7 linked regions of the Danio rerio genome follow. The protein of the gene in region 7 interacts with the protein of the main gene of each other region in a pairwise test. Links are inferred from orthologs where the notes say so. Each region holds a gene or a part of one and is shown on either strand. Other genes may lie near its edges. The genes, in order: stx11b.1, cdr2a, necab2, zbtb8a, trim54, abi2a and kifc3.

Region 1 (4,390 bases), on a different chromosome or scaffold from region 7:
GAGTGCGTTGTATGGTCTTTAGATATATAGATTCATTAAAAACAGAACGGATTACAGAAAATTATAATCAATCCCAAATCGTGCAATTGTAATATTAGCTCAATGTATAAAATGACTCTTATTAATGAAACTATTTGCCACTTGGAATAACACAAATTTTTCAAGCATTACTATGACTGTGGCCTACCTCAAATTATATCCTTCTCTGTCCCTTCCTCCTAAAATCAGCTTAATACAAAAGCCAATCCGTCCGTGAAAATAACAAATGCATTTAACGTAACAGGACTTCACCTCTGCAGCCAGCGATGCACGAGTGAGGATGATGTCATAGACTCCGCCTTATATCAGGTGTGCAGTGATGACCAATGTGTCCGACAGAGGGCAGAAGAAATGCGGGGCCAGGGGAGAACCGAGCAAAGTAGAGCCTAAACACAGAACTGTCCCAAAGGCTTTTTCAACTGTTTAGTTACCACGAACGCCTTAAACATGATCATAATAAATTATATTTGTTAGTTACACATTTTGTAGGCCTATGCATTTTCTCTAAATAATTCCAACACTCTTGCGCCTTCTTGGGATCTCTAGACCCCAAGCAAAAAACCCTCGACTACTTCATTACAGCATTTCTTTTTTTTTTTTTAATTATGCAATTCACGAATAATATTATTTATACACTCACTGGCTGATTAAACTCTGGTGTCTCTAAATCATTTTGGACCAGCTTTTGGGTTTACAAAAGCTTCTGTAATTATTCGGTTCGGTTTCCTCATTTTTTACATTTTAATATTGCGTTAGGATAATTGTAAGAGAAAACAATTCTCAAAAGATAATTATAAAAAAAATTCAAATATAATGCAAAACAATTATTTAAATAATTATTATAATAACAGTAATAATAATTACATGATTGGTCTCTAATCTGACCACGAACAACACAAGTGCGCCTCAAGGAACAATATCAGATGCTTAATCATATTTTAAAGTTGTCTTCTCTTATTCTAGCCTATAAACAACGTATATACACATCATCATCATCATAGCTCTGAGGCCTAGACTACTGCATAGTTTTACTTAAACGCAGGCTAGTGAAAAGACATGGAAGACACGAAGAAGATCATCTGACCGCTGAGGAATTTCTTAAAACAGAGATGATGTCAAAAGTAACGAAACGCACGTCTGAAGACTATTCAGCGAACAGGTTTGGCGTCAAAGTTACGCCCTGCACCGCGCATTCCTTCACCCCCCCACTTGGGAGAGGAGGACATCAGCCGCCTCACTGCAGAGAGGATGGAGCTGTAGTACTGACATGACATGTCGACTTAATTCAAACTGCAAATCATTTGGACAAAAACATAAGGTAATGGACTTTTTTGTAGATGACATGGGACTTTGCTTTTCACATTTCAGCTCTACATTATGTTTTTATGGGCAATTGTTCATTATTAGGCTAATAAATTCATTATAATGTTGTCAGCATGTCTAAAAGAGTAGGCAAGAGATGAAACAAAACAACATTTAATTGTTCATAAAAAACTCATTTTAAAAGATATTATTTTAGACAGAAATATTTCTTGCTATGGTTACTAACTCACAAGAGTGGTCTGTCGTGATCAGGTGGTATTTTTGTACAAATGTAGAACAACTTATTTTCACTTTTAGCATAAATTGCACATTGTTTCTTTTGACCCCATCAGTAGAGACAAAAGTAACACATGGATGGTTTAAAAGTAACACAATATGCTAAATATACTTGCTTAACTTTGTTTATAATAAATATTTCTGTCTATTACTTTAATATGTTAACTTGCGAACGTATTTTGTCCTTAATTTATTTTTTCCAAAATTTGTTAAATGACATCTTCATTATAAATTTAAATTTCAGCTCTATCAAATGTTTCAAAAGTAACCCAACAATCCAAAATTAAATAATTTAGAAGTGTGCCACATGTTTATCTGTAGCTAAAGCTTTAGTGACTCAAATAAAGTCTTATATATATATATATATATATATATATTATCTCTTTTTAATACGCTTTGCAGTAAAATACAAATAACTAAAGAGCATATTATCTTTACAGAAACAAAAGCTGAAGTATCAATTCAATCCATTCAAACTTGTTTGGTGAGTGACGCCAGTCAGAAATAGTTTCACGGATAAACTTGTTAGACTTGTGACTTTTTCGTGGTAGATAAGGAAGTGTTATCTGCCTTTTACAGTCAGAAGGTATTTTTGTTCCACAATGCCTAAAAACAAGGACAGCTTGAGGGAAAATAATATTGCAAATTATAAAATCCCAATTTTATATATTTTTGTGTCTATTGAATGAGTGTAAAGAGAACCAGAACTAAAATTGTTATTTACTTTTTGGTGGTCCAGAATAAATTAATCAAGACAAGCAAACTACACTTTTAAATAAAACAAAAAAAAAATGAGTTTGTATGGCTGGTTTCACAAATAATCTTTAATAAAAGCATTATTTGTAGTAAAAAATACTAAAGATTTTAAAAATGTTATTAACAATAAGAAAAAAAAATATTTTAAGAATTGTTTACTGAAAGGTTCTTTTTAGGAACCAAAAATAATGGTTGCAGGGCAAAAACCTCCTTCTGAAATTATTCAGAATTATTTTTAATTCTGTTTATTATTTTTAAGAGTGTACCAACTTGAACACAATCTGAAACTCACTATTTCAGGGGTCTCATTGATTGTTGCTGCGTTTTGTTCTGTTTTTTTGTGTTCACACTTATTGATATTAACTAGAGCAGAGTTTCTTTACATCAAACCAACCCTGTCAAGATGAACCCATACTTAATGTCCTTTGCTCTTCATTCTTTCTTATAGCAATCATGAGGGACCGACTAAATCATCTTCTGACCATCTCAGAGACCGACAGTCATCTAGAGGAGGTAGAATCTGACTCTTTCAGCAATGTGGATCTGGAGGAGAACTTCAGCCAGCAGGCTGTCATTTTTGACAATGGTGAAGATATGGAGTCTGTGCTTGACGAGGCTCAAGACACCAGACGTGAGATTCAGCTCATCCGCCTCGAGGTCAAGCGGCTCAGGGACCAAAACACACGAATACTCAACGAACCGACACGTACAAGTTATGTAAAGCGTGACGCCAATGCCATCGCAGGTGACATCAAGACCCGTGGGGTGGACGTTTTGGCACGTCTACAAAAGATGGACGCCCACGCCAAAGAGCTGCAAGAGGAGCATGGCATCAACTCAGCAGTAGCCAGAATCGCCCGAACACAGTATGCCACCCTGAGCAACAACTTCCAAGATGCAATGACCGAGTACAATGATGCTGAGATGAATCACAAGGAATCATGCAAGCGTCACATTCAACGACAAATGGAGATCGTCGGTCGAGAGGTGTCAGGTGACCAGATAGAGGAGATGCTGGAGAACGGTGAGTGGAACGTCTTTAACGATAACATCATGTCAGAGGGCAAAACAGCTCGCTCTGCACTCAACCAGATCGAGCATCGACATCGGGAACTGCTGGAGCTGGAAAACCGACTCAACAGCCTTCATGAAGTCTTCCTGGATGTGGCGATGCTTGTGGAGGAGCAAGGACCCATGACAGACTACATCTTAAACAATGTGCAGAAAACTGATGCTGTGCTTGGGGAAGTGCTTATCAAACTGGCACAGGCCAAAAGACATGATAATAACAACCCCTTCAAGAAAATGTTCTGTGGATGCTTTCCTTGTGCTAAAATCTGAGTGAATGTAAACAGACTTGTGGACCTGAGCTTCTGATGACCTTTGAGTGTCATTTAAAAATGAAAAGAAAGAGATGTGTAATGAAAAAGATCACAGATTTCTGACGCAAAGCTTTGGTCTATAAAGAACTGTTTGATAGGCTACTCTTGAAGTGAACAGCAGTCGTGCTAAGAGTACATTAAACACCTAACACACAACTGAAAAAAATGAAATGACGTTCTCTACAACTATACAACATTTAGTCCTCACTACTTGTCTTCTTTTCCTTTTGCAGACTGATACAAACTGTAAAAATGGTAAATCACATTTAAGTGTTTGAGGTCAACAAAAGCAATGGAGAATTAAATCTGATATTTGACTAGATATTGTGTGGGATATTCATAGGCTATAATTTATTATTATATGTGAGATTCTTATTAATCTAACTGAACATGCACTTACATTAATCCGGAATATGAAGAATTTGTCATGTCTTGCCATATTTGCAAAGCATGTTTATCATATTTTGTTTGTTTTGGCAATCAGTTTCTCTGCAAGTTTATTAGAAAAATATCAGCTAAATAAAGGATCAAATAATGTACTGTAACTCTTAAATTGTCTTTTTTTAAATGAAAAAACAGATGCAGGTGTAACCCCGCTGGTCCTATACCTCCCA
Region 2 (3,839 bases), on a different chromosome or scaffold from region 7:
TCCTCGCACAAAGACAGGCAAGTTCAGACTTGATTAATTAAAACACTCCTTTTTTTAATTGTTGTTTTTTTTAGTAACACCCAGACCTTGTTCAGCTTGTTCGGGTGTGTTTGGATAAGGTGTAATCAAAACTCTCCATGGCCATCCCTGTCCTAGCAGGTTTGAAATTGTTCAAGGCTTTGTTGATGGTTTAACCAAGACTTTTTAAAAATCTCTATGGGAAAATGAATTGGAAAAATACTCTTGGATGCCTGAAGAACTGTGCCAATATTAAAAAAATATTCAAAGTAAGGGAGAAGCTTAGCATGCATTTCAATATAATTATGCAAATATGTTTTTTTAGACATTCTCTGAGATGCCCAGTGTGATCTGATTCACTGAAATGATTCACACTTGTATTCTGAACATCTAATGTTTAAATGAGGAGACTGAAAACAATGGTGAGGAAGATACTCAGGAGTCATGAGACGAGCATGAGACTGGTCTGATGATGCACTGTTTAGGAAACTAGAAATTCTCCTTTCTGTTACATTTATATCTCTATATCTATTTATAAAAAAAAAAGTATATGTGTGTGTGTGTGTGTGTGTATGTATGCATTAGGGTTGTAACGGTATGAATTTTTCACGGTATGATAATCGTCTAAAACAATACCACGGTTTGACGGTTTCGCGGTATACGGTATGTTACAAAATAATAGAACAGTGAAGCAAATTTGACTTTTTCCAAATAATATATTTTTAGTTACTATAAACAACACCACTTACAATGAACAAATAAAAATAAGAAAATAATAAATAATGTGTCAAAGTCCAAATAAAGTCCAAATAAACATGGTGCAAATCCTCAGTAAAAAATAGATATAAATATTTACTATACTATAAATAGTTACATAACGAAACTAGATTTAATATGGAACATCCCTAGGTTTTATGTGCCAGCATGGATATGGTTGTCTATGGATATGGATATGGTTGTCTGCAATGCAGACAAACAGCTGCATCTTCATTTGCGTCTTTTGAAAACAGCAAGAGCAGCAGTTTGTCTTTGCTGTGTCACTGTTTTGTCATGTTTCTGTGCTGCTGTGCATGCAAAAGTACTTAGTATGAGAATTATTTCATGCAAAACTTTTTTTTTTTGCGTTTTATTTAGCCGCGCATAAATGTATGCCTTTCTCTCATTCCGTGTTGTTCAAAAAGCTTGGTCCACAAACAAAAGTGAAACCTATGCTTATTGGTTGTGATATTGCGAGTTTGAACCAATCTGGGCATGGAGGAGGGACAATGCATCAATGTATCATGTCTGATTTGTCCGGAGACACAGTGACGAGCGTTTCTTTGTCAAATCAGCGTTGTCAAATGTTGATGACGTAACCGCACTGATTCCGGAGCCTCTGAAAGTCCGCGAATGTTATGTGATACAGCACTGGAAAGCTGAGGTTCTCTTCTTTATGCCAATCTTTGAATTGTATGAATCGGATCAGCGGATCAAAAGTTATTAAACATTTAAGAGCAATACTTATTTTTAGCCGCGGGCGGCTGTCTCGGTCTTTAAGGGTTAAAACCGTTGATATGCAATTGTTCATGGTATGATAATCGTGCACGTTCAAATCGTGGTAAACCGTCATACCGGTATATTGTTACAACCCTAGTATGCATATATATATGTGTGTGTGTGTGTGTGTGTGTGTGTGTGTGTGTATATATATGTATATGTGTGTATATATATGTGTATATATATATATATATATATATATATATATATATATATATATATATATATATATATATATATATATATATATATATATATATATATATATATATATATATATATATATGTGTGTGTGTGTGTGTGTGTGTGTGTGTGTGTGTGTGTGTGTGTGTGTGTGTGTGTGTTTATATATGTATATATATATATATATATGTGTATATATATGTATATATGTATATATATATATATATATATATATATATATATATATATATATATATATATATATATATATATAGTTGTATTTATCTAGTAAATTACATGCAAATAAATTGTCTTCTTTAATGTACTTTTTTGATGAAATAGTTCCAATGACATTAAGCATATGAAAAAAGTTAAAACATATTCATTCTGAGTTATATAAAATTATTGTATGTTAATTATGTTACATATTTGAAGCAATTAAAATCATCTGAAAAATGGGTAAAACCTAGTGGTTTGTGGGAGAATGTAAAATATAAAGCTTTAAAATGATAGTTAATGAGTATTTAAGGGCAAAACTATGATATTTACAGTCTGTTAATGTCATCAATTGTTCTTAATCTGAATATGCCTGTTGATATTACACCGAATGGCATTGTAGTGGGTGTCTTTTAAAAATTGTTATTAAAACATATAACAGTCATTTATTTTTCACCACAAGAGGAAATAAGAATATAACCTGAACAAATGTAGTGAATGTATGGACAGTAACGCTGTATTGAATATGTACTATTTTGGTGACTGAAAACATTTACGCCCCATTCACACTTGGCTTCTCGTTCACTTTGAATGGGTGACATCAGGCATTGCCGAACTGCATTGTGGATCTGTCGGTGCTGCTTCAGTGGCGTTGCTTGCTGCAGAAGTTGAGACTTTCTCAACTTTTCAAGCACCGATGGAAGCATCAGCCAATCAGATCGCTGTATGCAAATACACCAGCTCAGAAAGTAGCTGATTGCTGGCTAATTTCATTGGCTGACGCTTGCTATGACAAACGTGCCAGCCCCAACTTCAGACACGCCCTCTGTCAAGCGTTGACACTAAACACTGTTAATTCACCATCAGTCTTCAACCGATAATTGTATTAACATTGTGTGTATGAGTCCATCTGAATCTGGATAAGAGTAAATATTGAAAGCCTTTTGTCTGTCTGTTTCTCTCTTCAGTATCTGACCAAGCAGGTGGATCTCCTGCGGCAGATGAACGACCAGCACGCCAAAGTGTACGAGCAGCTGGACTTGGCTGCTCGAGACCTGGAGAAGAGCAACCAGCGGCTGGTGCTGGAGAACCGCACGTCCCAGCACAGGATCCAGAGGTGAGGATCAGGCCAGTTCTGGCTGGTTTAAAAAATAAAATAAAAATAAATGACCCTCCCGTTCTTTATATCGTGCATGTCTCACTTGTTTAAAGTTGGCATGAAACAAAGTTAAAACTCAGCAGTTTCACAGCTGCTTATTTTAGAGAAGCAGTTCTCACAGCATCTGCAACTTTATTATTCTCCATCCGCAGCCTGACGGAGACCATCGATGGCCTGCAGGCTCATATGGAGAGCCTCCAGAAGCAGGTGGACGAGCTGAAGGCGTCCCAGTCCAGGAGGGATTTCACAGCGGCACGCCGAGCCCTCGGGGCCCAGAGCATGTCCTGCCTGAAGGAAATCTACGATCTGCAGCAAGACAAGTGAGTGTGGAGCCAAGAAACCACTATCATTCACATCATCATCATCACACACAGTCATACACTCATGTCTCGACGTGCCAAAGATTGACCTACTTTGAGCTGAAGTTCTTGCTTGTACTGAAAAAGTGGAGGTTGTGTCTGTTAGCTTTGAGCTCAAGATGTTGAGAAATATGGCTAAATGCACCCATGAAGTGACATTTATTTAAAGTATATCACTCTCTTTTACTAAAAGGGTCCCCCCAGGACAAGAAATCGGCTGAATGGATTTAAAAATGGTCAACTGTTTAGCTCTTGAAGACTTTTAAAATAACATATTTTAAAGAAGGCTAATTTTAAAAGTCTCCTAGAGCTAAACAGCTAATTTGAACCATTTTTTAATCGTTCAGCCGATTATTTAAATTTTATCA
Region 3 (4,626 bases), about 26 Mb from region 7:
AGGTCTTTAATCGTACATTTTTATAGACTTTTAGTGACCTTATTCTTCACTGTGGAAGTGTACTTGTTTTTGCAATTGTTTTAGATATACCAATTTAGCTGCCAATAGAGGAACTCATTCATTCATTCATTCATTTTCTTTTCGGCTTAGTCCCTTTATTGACCTGGGGTTGCCACAGCAGAACGAACGGCCAACTTATCCAGCATGTGTTTTACGCAGCGGATGCCCTTCTAGCTGCAAACCATCACTGGGAACCCATACACTCTCATTCACACACCTACACTACAGACAATTTTAGTTCCAATGGCTGCACCTGCTCGTACATTAAGAATAAGGTCAATCGTGAAGACAGGAAAGCATAGGGAGCAGAGAAAGGGGTAGTATAGGCAAAGGACCTTAAGCTGGGAATCAAACATGGGTGCTATATGTCAACGCACTAACTACTAATCCATTGGTGCCAACAAAACTGAAACTTTTTTGTGGATTTCTGCCATTCCTTTATAATAGAGTGTTTTAGGGGCCTGGAAATGCAAACATTTCAGATTGTGTTTCAGAGAGAGTGTCTACAAAAACTATACCATTTTAATTTCTGTGTACAAAATACAAAAATATTTTGTCATGTGCATGCATATCAATTTTTGCTGATACAGTATGAGCAAATGGGAACACTATTAACAACATTGTCTTTTTGTATGCCAAAAACTTTTAACTTAATGCAAAGACTTCACAGTTTTTTGTACATTTGGTAAAATGGGGGTTTTGTTTAAAAAAAGATGCAAATTTTTTTTCATTCAGAATTATAGGTTTTGGAACCTAGAAGTTATTCAAGTGTTTCTTTTCACTTCTTTCCACAAGGTAAACATGGTAACAGTTTGCCGATTTGTTGACAATGTATGGCACAGGTGTCAAACTCAGTTCCAAAAGGGCCGCAGCTCTGCACAGTTTAGTTCCAACCCTAATTAAACACACTGATCAAACTAATTGAGTCCTTCAGGCTTGTTTAAAACCTACAGGTAAGTGTGTTGGAGCAGGGTTGGAACTAAACTGTGCAGGTCTTCGGCCCTCCAGGAATTGAGTTTTACACCTTCTGAGTATGGTATGAATCACTGAAAATGTATTTACTGAAAGCAACACATACTCCATAAATTATAATAATTTGCTTCATCATAAAACAATAATGCACATGCATAATATAGACTTGAATGTATATAATCAGTTGTGTCTTCTTAAGTTAGTGGAAATAAGGGGATATTTAATCTAAAAATGAAAATTCTGTCATCATATACGCCCATCATCACAATCAGGGTAACCATTGGCTCGTTTTTCGCGGGGTTATTCCTGGGTTTTAATACAGCTACCGTTAAATTGGCTACTTTACAGAGATGAAGTAGAATATTTGGTAAAACAGGACTAAAATAACTACCATCATTAATTCAAAAGTTATTGTCTGCTATCAGTTCTCTTAGTTGATCCTCTCTCTAAATTGCAAATAATGCATTTTCTCTCATGTATTGTATCTTATTCTACTGCAACTGTACTAAATTCATGGCATTTACTTAACTGCTCCAATTTGGAGTGTCAGAAGGGCTGAGTTTTGGGCTGGGAGCCGCTGATGTCATAGCAGAGGGAGGGATCGCCCCCATAGCGCGCAGCATGAACGCTCCGCGGCAAAAGGATGTGTGAACAAGCAGCGCGCTACTGCAGGGACGGCGTCCACAAACTGCTCCACAAAGAACAAGCAAAACTCCGGGCACAGGACAGCAAAGACCAGCCCACACCCGGGGCTCAGGACAGCGAGACAGCGACGGCTGCACAGTCCGGAAACAGCGGCGCACAGCCCGGTGGAATAGACGGGCTCGTCCGCTGGATAGTCACCAAGATGAGCGACAATAAAAGCATCTCTACCCGGGAATACGCGAAGGAGGAGGCGGCGGTGGCTCAGGAGCAGTTCTTCGCGCCGGAGCCTCGAAAGGGCATCTCAGTCATTTTGGATGTAGGTGTTTCATTTTCTCTGTGTTATGAAATATGAAGTGCGCGCGACCGTTCAACTTTTATTCGGTTTCCCGAATAAAGTAATGAACTAATTTATTCATTAATTAGTTGATTAATTCAGTAACCTCAGAAGAGTTTTAAGCATTAATTAGACATTAATGACTCATACACAACTAGTAAGCCTTTGATGCTTTGGGAATACAAAAAGCAATTGCACTTTATGAATTTATCTACTTTTAACTTTTAATTCTGTCTTTATTTTTTCTTTCTTTTATGCATTTCAGTTGCATGTTGTTATCTAACATGCTTTGCATACTTTAATACATGGATTTTGTAATTCTGATTGGTTAGTTGCAAGCAATCAGTTTTTGTACAGTAACCTAATTGGACATAGTTGACGATAGAAACATACCAGAAACATACTACTTTCGCATATCTCTCCGCGCACTCGGAAACTAGTGCCACCGAGCGATTTTAAATGGTCATCAAATGGTGATAAAAATTGTCTAGCATTAAATTTGGTGTCTGTCTAATTCGCAAAAAGCCTAAAACAATGGAATGGTGAGTCTTAAAAGTCCCTAAGCAAGCAGAAGAGCTACACAGAAAGACAGAAAGTTTAAAGATTAAATCTAAATTTCAGAAAAACAAATTTTCATTCAATGTTTTTGTTTAATTTATTACTATTATATGATTGCAGTGTCCTAATAACGCCTATATAATGGACATTCTTAGCAAAAAATCTAGAAATACAATGAAAAATAACTTAAATAAATAGTTTTTGTTCAAGGTAAATCATTTGAGTAGCCATTTTTGAAGAGTAAAATAATTTACAGCTGAAAGACCCCCCTTCAGGATGAGATAAAGCCCTCCCAATGGCACTCTATAACTGCATGCACACGCGCTGTCCCAGCCGTATCCAAATACTGTTCAGCTTCTCGAATGTGCACTAGAAAAATCAACCCAATTATAAAACACACCAAATATTCTCTAGTAGCTACAACGCTGCATACATTTGACTGTACCTTTCAGCATCTTGAGCTTATACAACAGTTTTCTTTTGCTCTGAATTTATCTCAGAGAACCTAAATAATTTATTGTGCTTTTCCTGTGAGCCTGGCAGTTATGCTTTGTGGTTGGCTGCTGTGGCGAGGTCTCAGCAGTATTGATTTAGTAGGTCAAAGTATTGCCTCAGTATTGTTCTTCATTGGTGCTGGATAATTATCTGATGGACATACCTCTCGAGATTTCCACATTGCTTTTAGGGGGAGAAGTTAAAACGTTTAAGAGAGTGATAATAAAGTAGTTCAGTTCCAGACCCAGATACAGTCTCAGGTAACCAGAACATATAAGGGGACGAAAACTAATTAAAAACCTCAGGAAAGAAAAGCCAAAGGCACCAGATGCACCCTAGTGTAAATACAATAGTGGAGGCGGGGTTATGCAGATAATGAGGTGCTGTAGATAATTTGTCTTTTATGGATGGTGAGCATGTGTACACGATTTTCTCGTCGAGACTTAAGATACGGAGCACAGCTGCTTGTAAGGGAATTGATTTCCCCCTATACTTTCTGAGAGAATTCCATTACTTATCTCAATCTTGACACGTCTTCTGCAATGTCTGTTCCAGAATCAGCCTGCATTGGTAAACAGCTGAGCGCCATTCATTATTAGAGTTTATTCTGAAAGTGTCTGAAGCAGCTATGCAATTGTAAAGACCCCATTTTCATTTCTGAAAGCCTTCGATTCAGCGGCTAGACCAGTTATAGATTCAGAGCGTGTCAAATGCTCGCATCCCTGGCTTCCCCAAACCTGACAGTAGAGCACTAACAAGCTGTCGTAAAGAAGGCTATAAGTGTGTTTCGCGCTATTGCTTTCTTACATAATCATGCCTCTGGTCCCAGACCTCATCTGGCTTTAGGGAGTAATTAAGTGCATTTAATGTTTTTGAACATTTCGTTTCCACTGGGGTTGAATGGTGTGCGCTAAATTACAGTAGTTTATGCTGTAGGACGCACATGTGTGAGAATAGTTGATCAAATGGTGGCAGCACGTGACATTTGCTAAAGACTTCATCGCACTATTGACTTGAACTTTAAAATACAAATATATCTGGCATTTGTTCAGTGGATTGGATTTGAGCCAAAGCACGGAGAATCAATCCAATTGACTTGGCAAGTATAAATGGGAGTCCCGTATTAGTGCCTATTAATTGAATCCATTTGTCACTCTCCCGTTTAAAGTCTTTGTCAATCTTTTTCTTTCTTTGGCTGACATCTCATTCTCTCTTGTTATTTGTTCCAGATCCTTTTATCGACACTAAGAGTTAGAGTTAGTTTGCAATACTTTATTCTTACTTTTTTATATTTTTATCATCAAAAATTAATTAATAAAACTTAATAGATGGGATAGATCAGGGGTTTTCAAAGTGTGAGGCGTGCCTCCCCTGGGGGGCGCCAGAGCATGTCAGGGGAGGCGCAGGAAAAAATATAATATAATAAAAATATAATTATTAAGTTTAATTATTATATGTATTTTTTATTATATTTAAACGTTTTAATTAAACAAAGCAAAAAAAAAAAAAAAAAAATACGTCAAATATAAGAAAACCTTTTTTACCCAGAAGGCCATAGCTGT
Region 4 (3,839 bases), on a different chromosome or scaffold from region 7:
AGCTTGCCATATAAGCATATTTCTACAAGATGTGAATTATTGACCAGCAGTGCAGGATGTCATGTGGAGGTGTGAACGGAACAAACAAGAGTGTGAAGCTGCATGTGTTTCTCACCGTCTCAAAGTGGCTGCGCAGGTGCTCCAGGCGGGTGAAGCGTTTGCTGCAGGCCTGACAGGGATACGGACGCTCACCAGTGTGACAGCGGAGGTGACGCTTCAGATCTGCCTTTCTCTTTACTGTATGAGTGCAGAACGGGCATTTGTAGCGCATAGAGGGAGTGGCATCTGAGACGGAGAGAGACGAAAAATGACTGTAAGCTCCTTTTCATGCATCACTACATCAGAGAATTATTCTGAAAGCTTGATAATATAATAGAGATACAGAGAACGAAAGAGAGCCAAGAAATGTGATACAGGTCAAAGAGATATTTCTTGCATGCAGCTTCTTTATAATCTGTTAATTAAAACCTTCAGTGGCTTCTGTTGCCAAATATGATTTGGATTTGTGCAATATGAACATACTTTGTGGGAAGCAGAGATAGTCTTGCTGGAGTTCAAGAAATACAAAAATCTGTATATACTACAGTTCAAAAAACTTAGGTTGGTTGGAAAGATACATGTATTTTTGTCATAGATGAAACATCACTGCAATTTTAAATGACCATTTGATTACACACTACCGGTCAAAAGTTTGGGGTCAGCATGATTTTTAAATGTTTTCAAATAAGCTTCTCCTGCTCACCATGCTGCATTTATTTAATCAGAAATACAGTACAGATTGTACAATTGTGAAATGTTATTGCACTATAAAATAACTGTTCAAAAGTAGTTTATTATATAATTTAATCATTTATTCCAGTGATTTTAAAGATGAATTTTCAGCTTCATTACTCCATTTTTTACATGTAATAAATGCCACCTTGATGATCAATCATTTTCTTAAAAAAAAGATGAAAAAAGAACTGACCACAAACTTTTGACAGTAGTGTATATATAAACAAGACACTTCTACATAGCTTAAAGTGACATTTAAAAGCTTAACTAGATTAATTAGTGTAACTAGGCAGGCTAGGGTAATTAGGCAAGTTATTGTATAACGATGGTTTGTTCTGTAGACTATCGAAAAAAATATAGCCCAAAAGGGCTAATGACCTTGAAATGGTGTTTAAAAAACTAAAAACTGCTAAATAAAACAAATAAGACTTTCTCCAGAAGAAATAATATTATCAGACATACTGTGAAAATTTCCTTGCTCTGTTAAACATCGTTTAGGAAATATTTAAAAAAGAAAAAAATCAAAGAGGGGCTAATAATTCTGACTTCAACAGTATATATATATATATATATATATATATATATATATATATATATATATATATATATATATATATATATATATATATATATATATATATATATATACAAACACACACACACACACACACTTGTACAGCTAACTTTATGGGATTTGAACTTCCCATGTACATAATGATTTTTCTATACAGACTGTATACTCTGTCACTCAACCCCACCCCTGTACCTAAACCCAAGCCTCACAGGAAACATTCTGCATATTCAAATATATTCAAAATACTTCATTGTGTTTGGGTTATGAGCTTTTATTCTCATGGGGACCAAACAATTTTCCCACAAGGTCGAAAATGAGATGTGGTAATGCTATACATGCTAGTACAGTTGGTCCCCACAAAGTAAGGAATACAAGGTACACACACAAACTCACTTCACACTCACCTTTGTTAAACATCCCGACCACCCCAACAATGGAAGGCAGGTTGGCGTAGAGCTCGTCTGCTTTCTGCGAGCAGTGTGACACCACCCCCTGCAGGTCAATGAGGGAAGTATCTTCTGCCACCAGGCGACTGGAGGCCGTCCTCTTCCTGCTCCCCCTCCTCCTGCGTTCTGGGAGCACCGAGCTGTACTGCTCCTCCAGGCTGGACTGTGCAGGAGAGTTGTGCTGAAGTCCTGACGGCTGCGGGCTCGTCCCTCCAAAGTCCTCCTGCGGCTGATCATCCTCCTGCTCCTCATCCCACAGTCTGCTTTGAGAACTCATGCTGACATCACACATGTTGGACGGCTCGATAGTGCTCTCACGTCTGTCCTGAAGAGAGCTGTTCTCAGACAAACACAGATACCGATTCTCATCGTCCTCTTTCGTGCTGATCTCGAGGAACGACTTGATGAAGGCTTTGCAGTAGGAAATGACGTCGTTCATCTGCAGGTAGCTTGCAGCTGACATCACCTCGATTACGTTGGAGCTGTTGAGCTCCAGCTGACCGGAGTAAATGAAGTCCAGGATGATGGTGAAGATATCAGGGCTGAAGACGTCAAAAGAGGCACTTACAGAGTCAACAGTGTCTTTGGCTCCCTGAGTCAGGAGCATCCGGAAATATCCGCTGCTGCCATATAGGACGTTCCGGTGAGCGTGGAAAATCTGGCCCTCCACCAAAACACTGCAGTCGCAGAACAGCTCCTGCTTTCTCTGCTGGTCCAGCTGCTTGAGCAGACAGCTCTGGTGGATGGCTGACATGTCTGCACTGGTCCATTTGTTAACAGGCCTGAAAAACAGAAGGGGTGGGGGAGGTTCAAAATCTGTACACACACTGTATGATTGTGAATGTTAAGCTCAATACAGGCCCATAGCCAGGGTGGTTCGGGTGGTTCCAAAGACTCCCCCACACTGACAAATTCTAGAATTTGACCCCTATATGAGCTCATTTATCACCATTTTGACTGCTATGCCATCATAAATTGTGAATTGTGAAAATTATAGGTACACTGCAAGAGAAGGCTTCTCTTACTTAGATTTTTTTGTTGTTGTTTCTAGTCCAAATATCTACAAATTCTTAAATCAAGAAGAATTTCCTAGAAAAACAAAACATATTGTATTGATTTAAGAAATAATATGCCAACATTAAGTGAGTTCTTACTTAAAACAAGCAAAATAATCTGCCAATGGGGTAAGCAAAATAATCTTACGTCAAAAAGAAAAACAAGATTATTTTTATTGGCAGAGAATTTTGCTTGTTTTAAGGTAAAACTCACTTAATTTTGGCATTATATTTATTAAATCGAACAATATGTTTTGCTTGCCTAGAAAATGCTTCTTGATATAAGATTTATTAAAGATAATTGGACTAGAAAGAAGACAAAAATCTAAGTAGAAAAGCAAAATGTAATTTTGTTTTTGAAAATTTAATTTTTAAAGACAAATTTAATTTCTAATTATTCAAGTGGCCAAACTCTGACTGAGGAAAGTTGAATGAGCTGGTCAGGTTTTTATTTGCTTATAGGTACAGTTTTTATTTTACCAGATTCCTATTTTATGATAATAAATTTGTATTTAAAAATAAGCATTTTAAAATATTTATTTATTTGTTTTTTTATTTAAAATGCTAATCTCAAAAGAATATTTATCAAACTGAATTAATTTACAGTTTAAAGCCAAATTTGTAAATATATACTTTGTAGTAAAATAGTACGGTAAGTACTTTGACACAATTGTAGGAAACATTTTTGATGCATCAAAAAAGTGTGGTTATTATCACTATCTGAGCATCCAAGTGGATCCAGCATTGATTAGTGCTTAAAATGTCACTACAATGCACAATTGAATAGAAAAATGAGGCGAATAACTGCAAAAAAGGTCCACTTTTTCAGAAAGCCACCCCTTTTAATAGGCTATCTACTGGCCTGTAATACTTTGTGTGGAACAAACCCCCTGCCTGCACACAGTAATTAGAAATGGCCATATTGTCTATTTGTGTACTTGAAATGGATGCTGCACTATTTGTTGACAGAACAACATTGTTTTTAAAAGG
Region 5 (3,839 bases), on a different chromosome or scaffold from region 7:
AAGCTAATCATCTAAAAAATTAGTGTTTTTGGTAATCTTTAATGAAAGTCTGATCATGTGTTTCAGTTTTTGGAGTGACGGTCCTTTTGTTGACGTGAATCTGAGGGCTTTTATAGCAACTGTGTTTATCATTTTGTTAATAGCATCTCTTACTTAGTCAAGTACCTTTTTTGTGTTCTATACTTTGCCTTAGTTTGCTATGAGGGAACGATGCAACAAATAAAACCCCCGCTCCCTACGTAGCGAAATAAATCTTAAATCCTTAATACTATATTTTTAGTCAGTTTGACTTATGCAAATTGAGATGACTAAAATAGTTTGTTTAAATTAAAATAAAATAAAGCAGCAAGAATGTTTTATAGTGTAACTATTGCTATCAAATCATAAATGATCAAGCTAAAGGATAAATTTTATGATTATGTAATAGACAAGTTCTTGACAGCTCTAGAATAAGTTCTTGAAATAATGGAAATAGTAAAAAAAAATGCATTTACTTCCACAGTGTCAGGAATTCTGAGTGACAATACAGCATTACACAAGGCAAACTACAACTGGAAGTAAATGTTCCATAAAAAATGTCTATATTATCTATATTGTGTTATTTCTTTATTTCTATTTTTAAACAGGAAAATATTGAAAGGTTACTGGGCCTAACTTAACAAGAATGTTGGCTTTTAGCAGAACATAGAAACACACAGACATTAGGATTTCATCCAACAACACATGATACTAGTACAACTAATAACCAAACATACTAAATTTAGGGAACCAGGCTACTGTCTCATTGACAACAGTAATAGTTGACCATCAGATGATGAGCATGGGATTAATAATAATAATAATAATGAAATGTTATGTCACCAACAAAGGCTAAAGTCATGAGAAAACATTTCATTAAAAGTAAATACAAGACCAGAAACAAATAAACACAAGATAAATTAGATACGATTTTAAAACTGAATACATGATAACAATTGTAACACTTTTCCTGATAAAACTTTGCTGAATTTCCTTTTATAGTAAGTTAAAAGTAAAAGTGGGTCAGTCTAATAAAAGGTTTTACAGTAAGAGCAATTTTGTCGTTTTACATTTAAAATTCTTTAAACTAAACACTTTAATTCTAAAATTGCTTAATATTTGATATAAAATAAGTTAGTTATAATCATTTAAATAAAATTATTAAGTGTCCACATCAAATTAAAATTTCAGAAGTGCTTTTATATACATACGAAGCATATTAAATGGCGGAAAATGGTTTAAAAGCATGGAGAAAATGTCCCATCATCAATCAGAATGTGCCTTTGAAACAACCTCTTTTAGGTACCGGCTTTTTACCAAAGACACTAAGACCATGTACATTATGTATTCATAATAAACAAAGCGTTTGTTACAAAAGGCTTCAAAGTCTATCAGTCTTATTATACCCAATTACGCATATTTTTCACAGGAGGTCTCATGACACATTGTTTATTGCCACAGGGATAAAGCGTCCTAGTTATATTTAGTCTGGTTTGGCAAACGATTGCTACAGTCACCAGAGCCTCAGGTCCCATGTCTTTGTTTGTGTTTACTTGACGTGGCAGAAAATCTCCCACATAAGAGTAAATCACATATATGTGTCACTACACCGGGTTTCAGCTTCATTGATGAAACAGAAGAAGTGTCAGGTACTGTAGTGTTGTGTCACAAGAGTGTTGTGTCACAACAGCTTGGGGCGTTGCTGGATCTCTATACAGAACACGGCTTTGAAGTATGAACAGCAAATAGACTTAATTAATGTAAGTGCTTCGAGAAGAGAAATGTTTATCCTTGGTGGAACTTGGAACTGGTTCACAGGCTAGCCCAACACAAGACTGACCTGGTGGATTCTGATTTGTAGATATCTATGATATTCTCCACTAGCAGATTTCTCTGAAGGCCGTAGACACCATGCCGATCCAAAACCACCTCATGGCGACATGATGGGCAGCGGAAACGCCCCCCTGTGGACACAGTGGTTGAGGCCCGGTTTTGCCAAAGAGGGTTGGAGGCCTGGAGCAATGAAAGACAAAAAAAGGGGTGCCATTAAAAGCAAACAACTTGATGGAATAGCATTTCACAGACATTAAACATTTAATGCACTGAAAAAAGTGCTGAATCTACCTTGTCTTTCATTTGAAGTACGTTTTTATATTTGATTAAGTGAAAAATTATGGATTCTGATTTTAAAGCAAAAAAGTTACCTTATTTATTATAGTAACTCTAAATACACTCTATATAACAATCTAATTCATGTTTACTTAACTCGCCAGGTCATGTTTTGCCATCTGCCATTACTTGATTCAAATGTGAAGAAAGTCTGTGGCCAAAGTAAATTTTATTTAGACAAGAGAAGCATTCCCATATTATATAAGAAAGCATCAGGGCGTTATGGTGGCACAGTGGGTTGCACGATCACCTCACAGCAAGAAGGTCGCTGGTTCAAGCCCCGGCTGGATCAGTTGGCATTTCTGTGTGGAGTTTGTATGTCCCCCTCAAGTCCAAAGACATGCTCTATAGGTGAATTGGGTAGGCTAAATTGTTTGTAGTGTACTATGTGTGTGAATGGGAGTGTATGGGTGTTTCCCAGTGATGGGTTGCTGCTGGAAGGGCATCCGCTGTGTAAAACATATGCTGGGTAAGTTGGTGGTTCATTCCGCTGTGGTGACCCCAAATTAATAATAAAGGGACTAAGCCGAGATGTAAATGAATGAATGAATGAATGAGAAAGCATTCGCGATGGCAACATATCTTTTTTAAAACATGTTTGTAATACTGCCAGGTCGAGGCTTTAACAACAGTAACGTTAGTCTATTAGTTACTCTGACAAAGATATCTTCAGGTACTGCTTATGTGCCCTCAATAAATACATTTAGCTGAAACAAATTACAGTAATTTTTTAAAGTTACTTTGACCATACAGAAATCTTTTAAATTCATGTTTTTAATAGGAAGCTATATAATATTATATTTGTGCATATACATTAGATTAGTCAGTACTGAAGCCAAATCTGGAGCTTGTCTGACAAAATAACATATATGATAACGATCCAAAAACTAGTACACCCAAATTTTTATTATAGAAAAATATTAAATACAAAATTTTTAAAAAGGAAAAAAACAAGAGAAGCAAAATGATTAAATAAATAAGTAAAAAAAATTGTTGAAACTTTGTAGGTTGTATTTTTATTTATTTATTTATTTTTGTATATTTTGCTTGATTTTTTATTGTATTATCTTTCGATTTCTAAATATGTGTGGTGACTAAAATATTATTTTAATAATTATATCTGTTTTTCATGCACCGAAATACATTGCCTATATCCACTGAGAAATTAATAAAATATTCATTTCAATCTCATTCATACATTTCAGTTTGATTTGCTCATCCACCAATGAGGGGTAGGGACAGGAGTGGAGTTTGAAGGCACATCTCCTTTAAAAAAAAAAAAAAATCTACATTTACATATCAGTGAATGAGTATGAATAGTTACTTTTCTGACAATATACATAGTTATGTTTACTCGTGATATCGGGCTGAATATTTGAGGAGGATTTACTGAAAATGTCTGTGTGAAATGTGCTAATGATTAAGAGTCTAAACATATAGAGGCAAACTAATTTACATGACTCCTGATAATACCAAGGTCTTATGAATATTTTTACCTTTAATCCACATCTGTAAATGGCCTACAGCGTATTTACAACAGTCTGGAGTATATATAATGATGAATTGTCTAGGACTGCTTTTAATTAACATGTTTTCAATAATCTGTTTTGATCTTTTACTGTTGTTCCCTTTAATAAATGAGGTTTGTAGGC
Region 6 (4,338 bases), on a different chromosome or scaffold from region 7:
AAATGTATCAACCGTTTTGCAAATGTAAATAATGTGAGAAATACACCAAAGCCACTGACAACATTAAATGGAATTGAGAGAGAGAGAGAGAGAGAGAGAGAGAGAGAGAGAGAGAGAGAGAGAGAGAGAGAGAGAGAGAGGTGTAAACCATGACCATAATGATGATAATACATTTCAGACAGACAGACAGACTGGATGGATGGATGGATGGATGGATGGATGGATGGACGGACGGACGGACGGACGGACGGACGGACGGACGGACGGACAGACAGACAGACAGACAGACAGACAGACAGACAGACAGACAGACAGACAGACAGACAGATAGATAGATAGATAGATAGATAGATAGATAGATAGATAGATAGATAGATAGATAGATAGATAGATAGATAGATGATGTTCTTTTGTAATTTTTGAACATCTATATAAAATACAAATAAATGAAAATGTTGATCTGCAAAAACATTCATCAAATTGTTTGGATGTTTGTTTTCTAACAGATCATGTGACATTGTAAATAATGATCAAATCAAACAAATAAATTACATTTTAAAACAAAGTTTTCACTATTGACACCTTTATATTGATATAATATTTATCTTTTCACTCTCTTTTGAACAAACAAATGCAACTTGATGAGCTAAAGACCTTAAAAATCAGCACTATTAATCAGAATGAAATGAGTTTATTGAGCATGCTTCATAGTTCCACAACAAATTGATCACATCAACTTAATTGTTTTCTCAAATTTAAGTAGGTTCAACATAAAATAATTAGGTTGTCCCAAAAACAACTTAAGAATTGTGTTGTTTCAACTTATTTTAAATAAGTAGTTTAAACAAGCAACAAAAGTAATTTGAGTGATCAGCCATTTTTGATTGCATGATGTATAATAATCCTAATATTATATTATATTATATTAATTATATTATATTATATTATATTATATTATATTATATTATATTATATTATATTATATTATATTAATTATATTATATTAATTATATTATATTATATTATATTATATTATATTATATTATATTATATTATATTAATTATATTATATTATATAATATTATATTATATTTTATCATATTATATTATATTACATTACATTACATTACATTATATTATATTATATTATATTATATTATATTATATTATATTATATTTCAACTTTTCGCCATAGTAGGATTGGTAGACGCGCTTCCCTGCTTTCCCCAAACTCAACGGGGAGGTGAAGCGGCGGTACTTCCTGTCGCTAGTTGCGCGTGGAGGGAGAGAGAGGGAGATGTAAAGATGGCGGAGCTGCAGATGCTGCTGGAGGAGGAAATTCCAGCGGGTCGCAGAGCGTTGTTGGACAGTTTCACCAACCTTGACAGAGTCGCCGAGTACTGCGAAAGTAACTACGTACAGGTGAGCGGCGAAGGAGTACGCATTGTATGTGTTTGTGGAGTTGGGGAGGCTGGAAGTGTGTGTATGTGTGTGCGGTGGTTGTTGATCATCTGTTGAGGCTCAGCGCTAAGTACGTACAAACAACCGCGGCTTGTCCGTGTTCAGATTAACTATAAAAGTTTATGACACTCGTAGGTGAGGCTTTAAACTAAGCGGTGGCTACTTTTGGAGGGCTTGAACTTCTGTGTGCAGTGATTTGAGCGTGTAGGTAGGTAGTATTCAAGTTACATGATCATTGGGGAAACTTTGCTCTGTCAATAATGAATGCGAGTGAAGCAGCTGACAGCACTGTTCAAAACAACGCGGATAAAATTCAAATCATTTAGTCTTGTAAACGTAGACCTATATTGTGAAAATAGACGACACTTAGCTGATTGTAACCACTTTGAAGTGAAATCTTGACATGCTGTTTGAAGCATATTGTAAGTCTAAACATTACCTTTAGATTATTTTTTGTTTTTATTTTTGTCTAAAATTTCAGTCAGTTTGTAATCTGTAAATAATTCGTATTTTATATGCTTTTTGGTACATTGCAATCATAACTGTTTTGGTGCAATCAATACTGGGGTGATAGTGTTTTTGACATGATGGTTAGTAGCATATCATGTTTTTGGATTAGTATAAATTTCAAAGCAATTTCTTTAAGTGCTGGATAATTGAGCAATTCCATGCAAATATCAACCTTCCCATAAAAAATAGGTTTTTACCAAAATAGACATACAGTTTCTACATTTTTTTTTGTGTAAGTATTTTACAGTACTTTAAAAATACTCAGAAATGTCTCTGTCAATGTTTTCAAACTATTATATTTGATTTACCAAAGTCACACAAGTAGCAATTTTACATCTGTCACATCCATAACGGAGAGGCATCTTATCCATAATAAAGCTTTTCTCTCAAAAATGTCAAATAAAATGAAATCAATAATTTTTGTTTCATACTGAGCCAACTCTTATCTCTTTGATTAACATTACTTCTTTTGGGTTGTACAGTTAGTAGTAGTATGTTATACTGTAAACTCTGCTGACTTTTTTTGCATGTTAACATTTAATGCATGTTTATTTTCTTCTTTTAAAATTTAAAATGTATTTACAGATTGATATTTTTCTGTTCCCATAACGCTGTGGTTAGTTGTTTTGGAAAATATAAACAGATGTTTCGATATTATGTTAACATATACTTTCTATGTGAATTTATGGTTTGAGTTTTTACTACAATTGTCACATCCATGATTCTGGAATTGCTCAATTATGTTTTTTTTATGGGTGACTGAAGAGCCATGCAAATCTTTTTGTCTGTTTTAGATTTTTTTTAAAAATTCAATGGTAAAATCTTAATTTAATCTATATCTCCTGTACACTTTTTCTAAACATAAAAATGCAGATAGAAGCTGTGATGACATTAAACCCAAGCATACAAACTTAATGCAAATGAATTAAGCAAATTGTTAATTATAGAAAGTAAACTTTATTTTGTAGCCTCCATTTTTTCCTGTAATATTCACAATATTCTTTGCACATCTGCTCATACATTATATACTTTACATAATTGTAAAGCAATTTCTATGCCTTCATCTTTTGACTTATATCCAAAAGCAGTTTTTGTGATTCTCAGCACTGATGTATGCAAACTCTCACTTAGGAGTTTGTTAGGAGCAATATTTTTTTTAATAGCAAGGGCCAGTTTTTAAATATTTACATTATGGGATTTTAGAACAGAGTTGTGAAGGAACAAGAGTAATGAGAATGTCATTGAAGCAGACCTTCTGTCACATTTTCCATCCTGTGCTCTTGTAAATTGTGTATTTGGACATGGAATTCTCTGTTCAGTGTGATCAATGAATGTCTATATGGGTAACTAAACTATGCCACCATCTGGAGCTCACTACATATAGGCAGCACAGCATACAAATAATGCTCTTCACATGAAGACTACTTGCGTTTTATTATCCTATATTTAAGCTAATGATGTTTTATGATTTAAAAAAAGCACATAATAGGGATGGGATGATAACCGTTTTCAAGGTTTACTGTGGTTTGAAAAAGTCAGTTTTTTTTCTAAACCGCAAATCTTTTCTGTTATATCGTTCCTGCAATATATATACAGATTTTTTACTTGTTAAAGACTTGTAACTTCATCCAAGCATGCTTTGGACCCGAACAGTGTTTTTCACTGCCTTATTTATATCCAATGAAAAGAAAGATATTCAAAGATGCATTTTCAAGTAAAGAAATCTGTGCTTTTGAAACGAATGAAGAATCAATGATTTATTTTAATTATTTTGACATATTTACTGTTCCAAAATATTGAAATATATTGTGTTCAATGGGGAAAAAGTTGTTGTTGTTACCTAGATATTTAAAAATAATCAGTATACTATAATGCCAATATTGCTATATTATATTAATATTACTAAGTCAGAATATCTACTATTTTTAATCCAAGGTTAGCACAAAATCAGTTTTATCACATCATTTTTTGCTGGGTTCCAGGACATGTTGGACTTTCAGGCAATGAGCGAGCTGATGCAGCTGCTAAAGATGCTTTGAAGCAAGTAGTGATCAAATGCCAAATTCCTCCATCAGAGATGAAACCTTTTATCAACGCTTGCATTTTAAACAAGTGGCAAAAGGAATGGGATGCATTAGAAAACAATAAATTACATGAAATCCAACCTGAAATTTCACACAGAATTTAAAGACATTTTAACAATCGATTTGATCAAGTAGTTTTTACCAGATGTCGTATTGGGCATACGAGAATACCACATGGTTTTTTGCTCCAAGGTGAAAACCCTACCCTTACTGGACTGTCCTGCTTTTACTAATTCCAGAAGCCTTTTTTATGAAATGAACTCTTTGAAGGACATTTTTAACA
Region 7 (4,514 bases):
TAAATTTTTGTATAATCACACCTTAATAAACAGTCTGCAGAAACACTTTGATTGACATTCTGCCTTTGTACGTGCCATTGGATTGGAAAAGCCCCGCCCATTAGAGAAATTTCTCCCTCATTAGCATAAACAGCTTTGAGTGAGAAGCAGCCGTCCGCCATTCTCATTTGAATTTAAAGCGACAGTCACCAAAACGACACAATTTGGATCACAGCCTTAAACTTGCTGTTTCAAAGCATTATAAAAAATTATTTTTGTGGTATTTTCAGCTGATACTTCACAAACACACACACACACACACACACACACACACACACACACACACACACACACACACACAAACACTATAGGGACTTATTTTACATCTTGTTTAAATGAGTGTAAGAGGCCCCCTTTGAAGAAGAGAATATTCAACTTGTATCATCATTTTGGTATTGTCTTATATACAGTTGAAGTCAGAATTATTAGCCCTTGTTGATGTTTTTTTTCTTTTTTAAATATTTCCAAAATGATGTTTAACAAAGCAAAGACATTTTCACAGTATGTCTGATAATATTTTGTCTTTTTGAGAGTCTTATTTTCGGCTAGAATAAAAGCAGTTATTAATTTTTTAACTACCAATTTAAGGACAAAATTATTAGCCCCTTTAAGCTATTTTTTCCGATAGTCTACAGAACAAACCATCGTTATACAATAACTTTCCTAATTACTCTAACCTGCGTAGTTAACCTACTGTAATTAACCTAGTTAAGCCTTTAAATGTCACTAAGCTGTTTAGAAGTGTCTTTAAAAATATCTAGTCAAATATTATTTACTGTCTTCATGACAAGGATAAAATAAATCAGTTATTAAAAATGAGTTCTTAAACCTATTATGTTTAAAAAATAAAATAAACAAATAAAAAATAATAATAATCAATAATAATAATAATAAAACAGGGAGGTTAATAATTCAGGGGGGCTAATAATTCTGATTTCAACTGTATATAAAAAAAATTGTTGTTTGTTTGTAGTTTTCTGTTTGTAGATTTGCCCAGCCCTGCCACTTTAGTTTGAGCACTTACTTCTATACTGGTTAATTTGGTTCGAACAGGCACTCTTGTTGTTTTCCCTTGGTCTGAAGCATGTGAACGGCCCCTAAAAAGGGTAATGAACCAGAAGATGGCCTTTTGTTTGTCTTGCGCACACACTTCAAACATGATTCAATTTTTCCCCCCTGAAGTACCAGCACAAGACAGCGCCGATCTTCTATGTCCCCGAATCCTAATTGATCACTCTAGATTGGCACTGTCAGGTCTCACTGCGCCACATTCCCATAGTTGTCTGTTTCCATATTATGTTCTATCCATTGTCACACAGCAGGAGCATGATGGATGGCTTTGTAGGACGCAGTTCAACAGGGTCATCTTACCACGGAGGCGACCAATCACAGACCAGCTTCTTTATCCTCAGCAGTGCATTTAAAACATGTTTTGAGTTGATTTTCCTTATTTTGCATAGATGCAAACACTGTTGTTACATCATCGGCTAAGAGACGCTTAGCTGTCCGACTGCAGTGACAGATGGACACAATGAGAAAAGGGAGGGCGAAAGAGTGAAAAGCATTTTCTCTCTCGGAGTTATAGGACTACACCAGCATCGCAGGAGTTGGATGGGTTATGAATGGTTGGAGTTTGCCCAGTCATTTGGACCTAAAAACGGGGATAAAGACTATCAAAACAAGGCATTATGAAAGGAGTGGTCTGACCTGTGAGTTTTGTCCTGCAATCCAGTGACTGTAAAAATACAATAAAACCATTACTGACGCAAGTGGAGGTGATGATTTGTCAAAGTGCCAATGGAGATTACGACTGAGAGTTTCATGGTTACTCTTTCGATCGAATTTCACTGGAATACACCTGTAATCTTCTGGAAGATCTCCAAAGAAGAGGCGTGCAGATGGGGAAGATAAGCACCTAAATATTATGTATCCTGATTAAAGAAGCATTTATCATGCTGTTGGCTTACATTGTTTATCAGGCGATATCTTTATAGACGTGTCCAGGTAGGTTAAAATGGCTTTGTGGGGTTTAAAAGCAGATGTGCGGTAGTCGTCCCTCCCTCATTCTCTCTTGAACGAGATTGGGAGATGAGAAAGCCATCTCATTTGCTGATCAGATCACAGACAGATTATCAAGCCTAAGTGAGAGTTCTGGAGCTCGAAGGTGTTGGAATAACACGGTCTTACCTTCCAGGAGTTGTTGTTTGAGTGAAAACAGTGGTGGGAAGACATGCAAGAACTCAACAATACTTGATTCTAAACTGGCTGATCACCTTCACGTCGACCGATAAAGCTCATTGCTGCGCAATTCGGAAGAGTTTATATTACGACTGTAACTTTAACCAGAAGATAGTGTTCAGTGCTTGCGCTCACCCTGAAATGGGATCATCCAGAATCGCTTTTAAAGGATACTCCGTCTAAATGTGTGTGTGGAGACGTCTCCAGTAGTCAAGCCAGCATGTATGTTCTGTGCACCTTGGTGCTGCTGTCTCTTCACAACCTGTTTAGGAGACCCCGAGTCCTGGATCCCGTTGAACCCAAAGCTATCGAAAGCCCAGAGAAGCACAAACCAGATGTAGGCAAACACGGACGCAAGAAGAGAAACAAACACCACATTCCTGGAAGTTCTGGACCACTAGAGACTTCAAGAGTGCATGGGCAGAGTGACGTTGATAGATGCCTTGACGGATTCAGCAGCAGAGCGAGTAAAAGAAGATCTGTTCATCAGGATAATGTGCTGGAGAGGAGGAAGATAGCACAGGTGAGCGTGAACATGGAGGTTAAAGTAAAGAAAGTTGTTAGTTGAAGGCTGTTTGCATTGCAGCCATCCAGTTTAATGTTCACTGTTAACGATTTTTGTAAATTACACAGTATTTAGCTGTAATGTGAACTGTATTTTACTGTAGGACACTCATGCAGTATGTTACTGTATTTTAATGCTGCATTGTGAAAATTAGTGTATATTCTACAGTAAAGATTTACATTAGGGTTGGGCGATGTTGACCGATTTGGCATCGTACGATGTCTAATGTGAAACATCGTGATGGACGATGGCATCAGTGAATCATTTATTTATTCATAACAAATTAATAATTTGTAGCCACCCGTTGCGACTACCTGACCTGCATAGTCTTTGTTTTATACATAACCAAATCATAAATGAATAAAGATAAATTACACATAAATGACCAACCGGTCAATATTTTTTTTTGCGGGATTCTGGCATGAATAGGCAGAGTGATCTGTGTCATTATAATGGCGTCGAAAAACTTGGTTGGTAAAAAAAAAGGTGCACAACCAACAGGAACCATCCAACAGTATCTGAGGTTTAAGCTAGAATTACAATTTACTAAAAGTACAAGCGTGAAAGCGAAAGACTGAAGCAGTGTACTGACGCTGTGTTACCTGATAGATTCAAAAGACAGAGGAGTCGTTAGATAGAGACAAGATTAATTAAATATCAAGTTTAACATCTATAAGATGCAATCCAGCGGTACATCTTTAATAAATTGTCCAAAGTGCACTGCTCTCTGGGATTTTGTGCTCAAAGCACCCACTGACTGCCTAGAGCTCAGACGTGCGCAAATGCTGCAGCACATGCCATGTGTGTTCAGCAGTATGTTTTCAGAAGTGCTAGATAAAACGCCAGTGGATGTGGATCGTTTTCGTTCTAAAATGCCATTTTAATACTAAGATGTATTGGTCTAAATGGGGCCTGAGTGTGTAATTCTAGCGACGGGGGCGGGGCAGAGGATGTTTCTCGGCCTTTGTCGATCGACGATGGCATTGCCTATTGACCCAAAACTATTATACATACATATCTGTAAATACAAGATAAATGGTGCTGTAAATGTAAATACAGTCTATTTGCTGTACTTGATTTACAGTAAGTTACTGGTAAATTGCTGCCAGTATGTTACTGTAGATTCTGCAGGGAATTAAGTGTTGTTTTTGACCGATCAGTCCTCAAGCTGGAAGAGTGTAACTGATGAGTCTCTCTGCTACTGGAAAACCTCCATTTAATCCAAAATGCAATTATTTATTCATTGATTTCTTCTCATTATTTATGTGCGTTGTATTATTGATTTGAAGAAACCTTAGACGGCTTTAAGTTGAACATATTCCTTTTCTGAGTGTGTGAATTTCATCAAGTCTACTGGAGCTATTTTAATCAATCAAGTGCGTTTTTCTCGACTTTTCATCCTTATCCAGAATTTCTGTGATCAGCTGCTTCTGGTGGGAGTAATTCACTATGGGAACATTTTGTAAATGTTCTTTCTGCATAATACACACAGGGATTTTCATTTACCTGGAATCATGTTTATCCTCCCAATGTCCCATTTCTAATGTTCTCTGCAGTCTGATGGATCGTTTTAGCAGATCAAATCCTGAGTGGTTACGCAAGCAGTGGGTTAATCAGAGAGCTCTCTGTCCCCTTTAATCATAATTTAATTCGCATACGCTCTGTTTACTGC

What was found.
Region 1: the proteins of kifc3 (region 7) and stx11b.1 interact in binary tests that used the Homo sapiens proteins (3 or more experiments, as listed by UniProt). The link is inferred for Danio rerio from reciprocal best matches to the Homo sapiens genes KIFC3 and STX11.
Region 2: the proteins of kifc3 (region 7) and cdr2a interact in binary tests that used the Homo sapiens proteins (3 or more experiments, as listed by UniProt). The two-hybrid records come from large-scale screens. The link is inferred for Danio rerio from reciprocal best matches to the Homo sapiens genes KIFC3 and CDR2.
Region 3: the proteins of kifc3 (region 7) and necab2 interact in binary tests that used the Homo sapiens proteins (3 or more experiments, as listed by UniProt). The two-hybrid records come from large-scale screens. The link is inferred for Danio rerio from reciprocal best matches to the Homo sapiens genes KIFC3 and NECAB2.
Region 4: the proteins of kifc3 (region 7) and zbtb8a interact in binary tests that used the Homo sapiens proteins (3 or more experiments, as listed by UniProt). The two-hybrid records come from large-scale screens. The link is inferred for Danio rerio from reciprocal best matches to the Homo sapiens genes KIFC3 and ZBTB8A.
Region 5: the proteins of kifc3 (region 7) and trim54 interact in binary tests that used the Homo sapiens proteins (3 or more experiments, as listed by UniProt). The two-hybrid records come from large-scale screens. The link is inferred for Danio rerio from reciprocal best matches to the Homo sapiens genes KIFC3 and TRIM54.
Region 6: the proteins of kifc3 (region 7) and abi2a interact in binary tests that used the Homo sapiens proteins (3 or more experiments, as listed by UniProt). The link is inferred for Danio rerio from reciprocal best matches to the Homo sapiens genes KIFC3 and ABI2.

What each region holds. Positions count from the first base shown.
Region 1 is NC_133195.1:29,252,168-29,256,557, forward strand, and holds stx11b.1 (syntaxin-11b.1), read left to right. Parts: upstream 1-1,315; 5' UTR 1,316-1,357; intron 1,358-2,842; 5' UTR 2,843-2,847; coding exon 2,848-3,735; 3' UTR 3,736-4,321; downstream 4,322-4,390. UniProt on the Homo sapiens protein: SNARE that acts to regulate protein transport between late endosomes and the trans-Golgi network.
Region 2 is NC_133178.1:62,640,343-62,644,181, reverse strand, and holds part of cdr2a (cerebellar degeneration-related protein 2), read left to right. Parts: intron 1-2,921; coding exon 2,922-3,070; intron 3,071-3,264; coding exon 3,265-3,432; intron 3,433-3,839.
Region 3 is NC_133193.1:22,796,629-22,801,254, forward strand, and holds the start of necab2 (N-terminal EF-hand calcium-binding protein 2), read left to right. Parts: upstream 1-1,661; 5' UTR 1,662-1,675; coding exon 1,676-1,993; intron 1,994-4,626. UniProt on the Homo sapiens protein: May act as a signaling scaffold protein that senses intracellular calcium.
Region 4 is NC_133192.1:26,257,086-26,260,924, forward strand, and holds part of zbtb8a (zinc finger and BTB domain-containing protein 8A), read right to left. Parts: intron 2,577-3,839; coding exon 1,753-2,576; intron 286-1,752; coding exon 116-285; intron 1-115. UniProt on the Homo sapiens protein: May be involved in transcriptional regulation.
Region 5 is NC_133195.1:42,032,463-42,036,301, forward strand, and holds part of trim54 (tripartite motif-containing protein 54), read right to left. Parts: intron 2,032-3,839; coding exon 1,859-2,031; intron 1-1,858. UniProt on the Homo sapiens protein: May bind and stabilize microtubules during myotubes formation.
Region 6 is NC_133184.1:13,879,095-13,883,432, forward strand, and holds the start of abi2a (abl interactor 2a), read left to right. Parts: upstream 1-1,305; coding exon 1,306-1,422; intron 1,423-4,338. UniProt on the Homo sapiens protein: Regulator of actin cytoskeleton dynamics underlying cell motility and adhesion. Functions as a component of the WAVE complex, which activates actin nucleating machinery Arp2/3 to drive lamellipodia formation.
Region 7 is NC_133193.1:48,507,532-48,512,045, forward strand, and holds the start of kifc3 (kinesin-like protein KIFC3), read left to right. Parts: upstream 1-1,622; 5' UTR 1,623-2,497; coding exon 2,498-2,800; intron 2,801-4,514. UniProt on the Homo sapiens protein: Minus-end microtubule-dependent motor protein. Involved in apically targeted transport. Required for zonula adherens maintenance.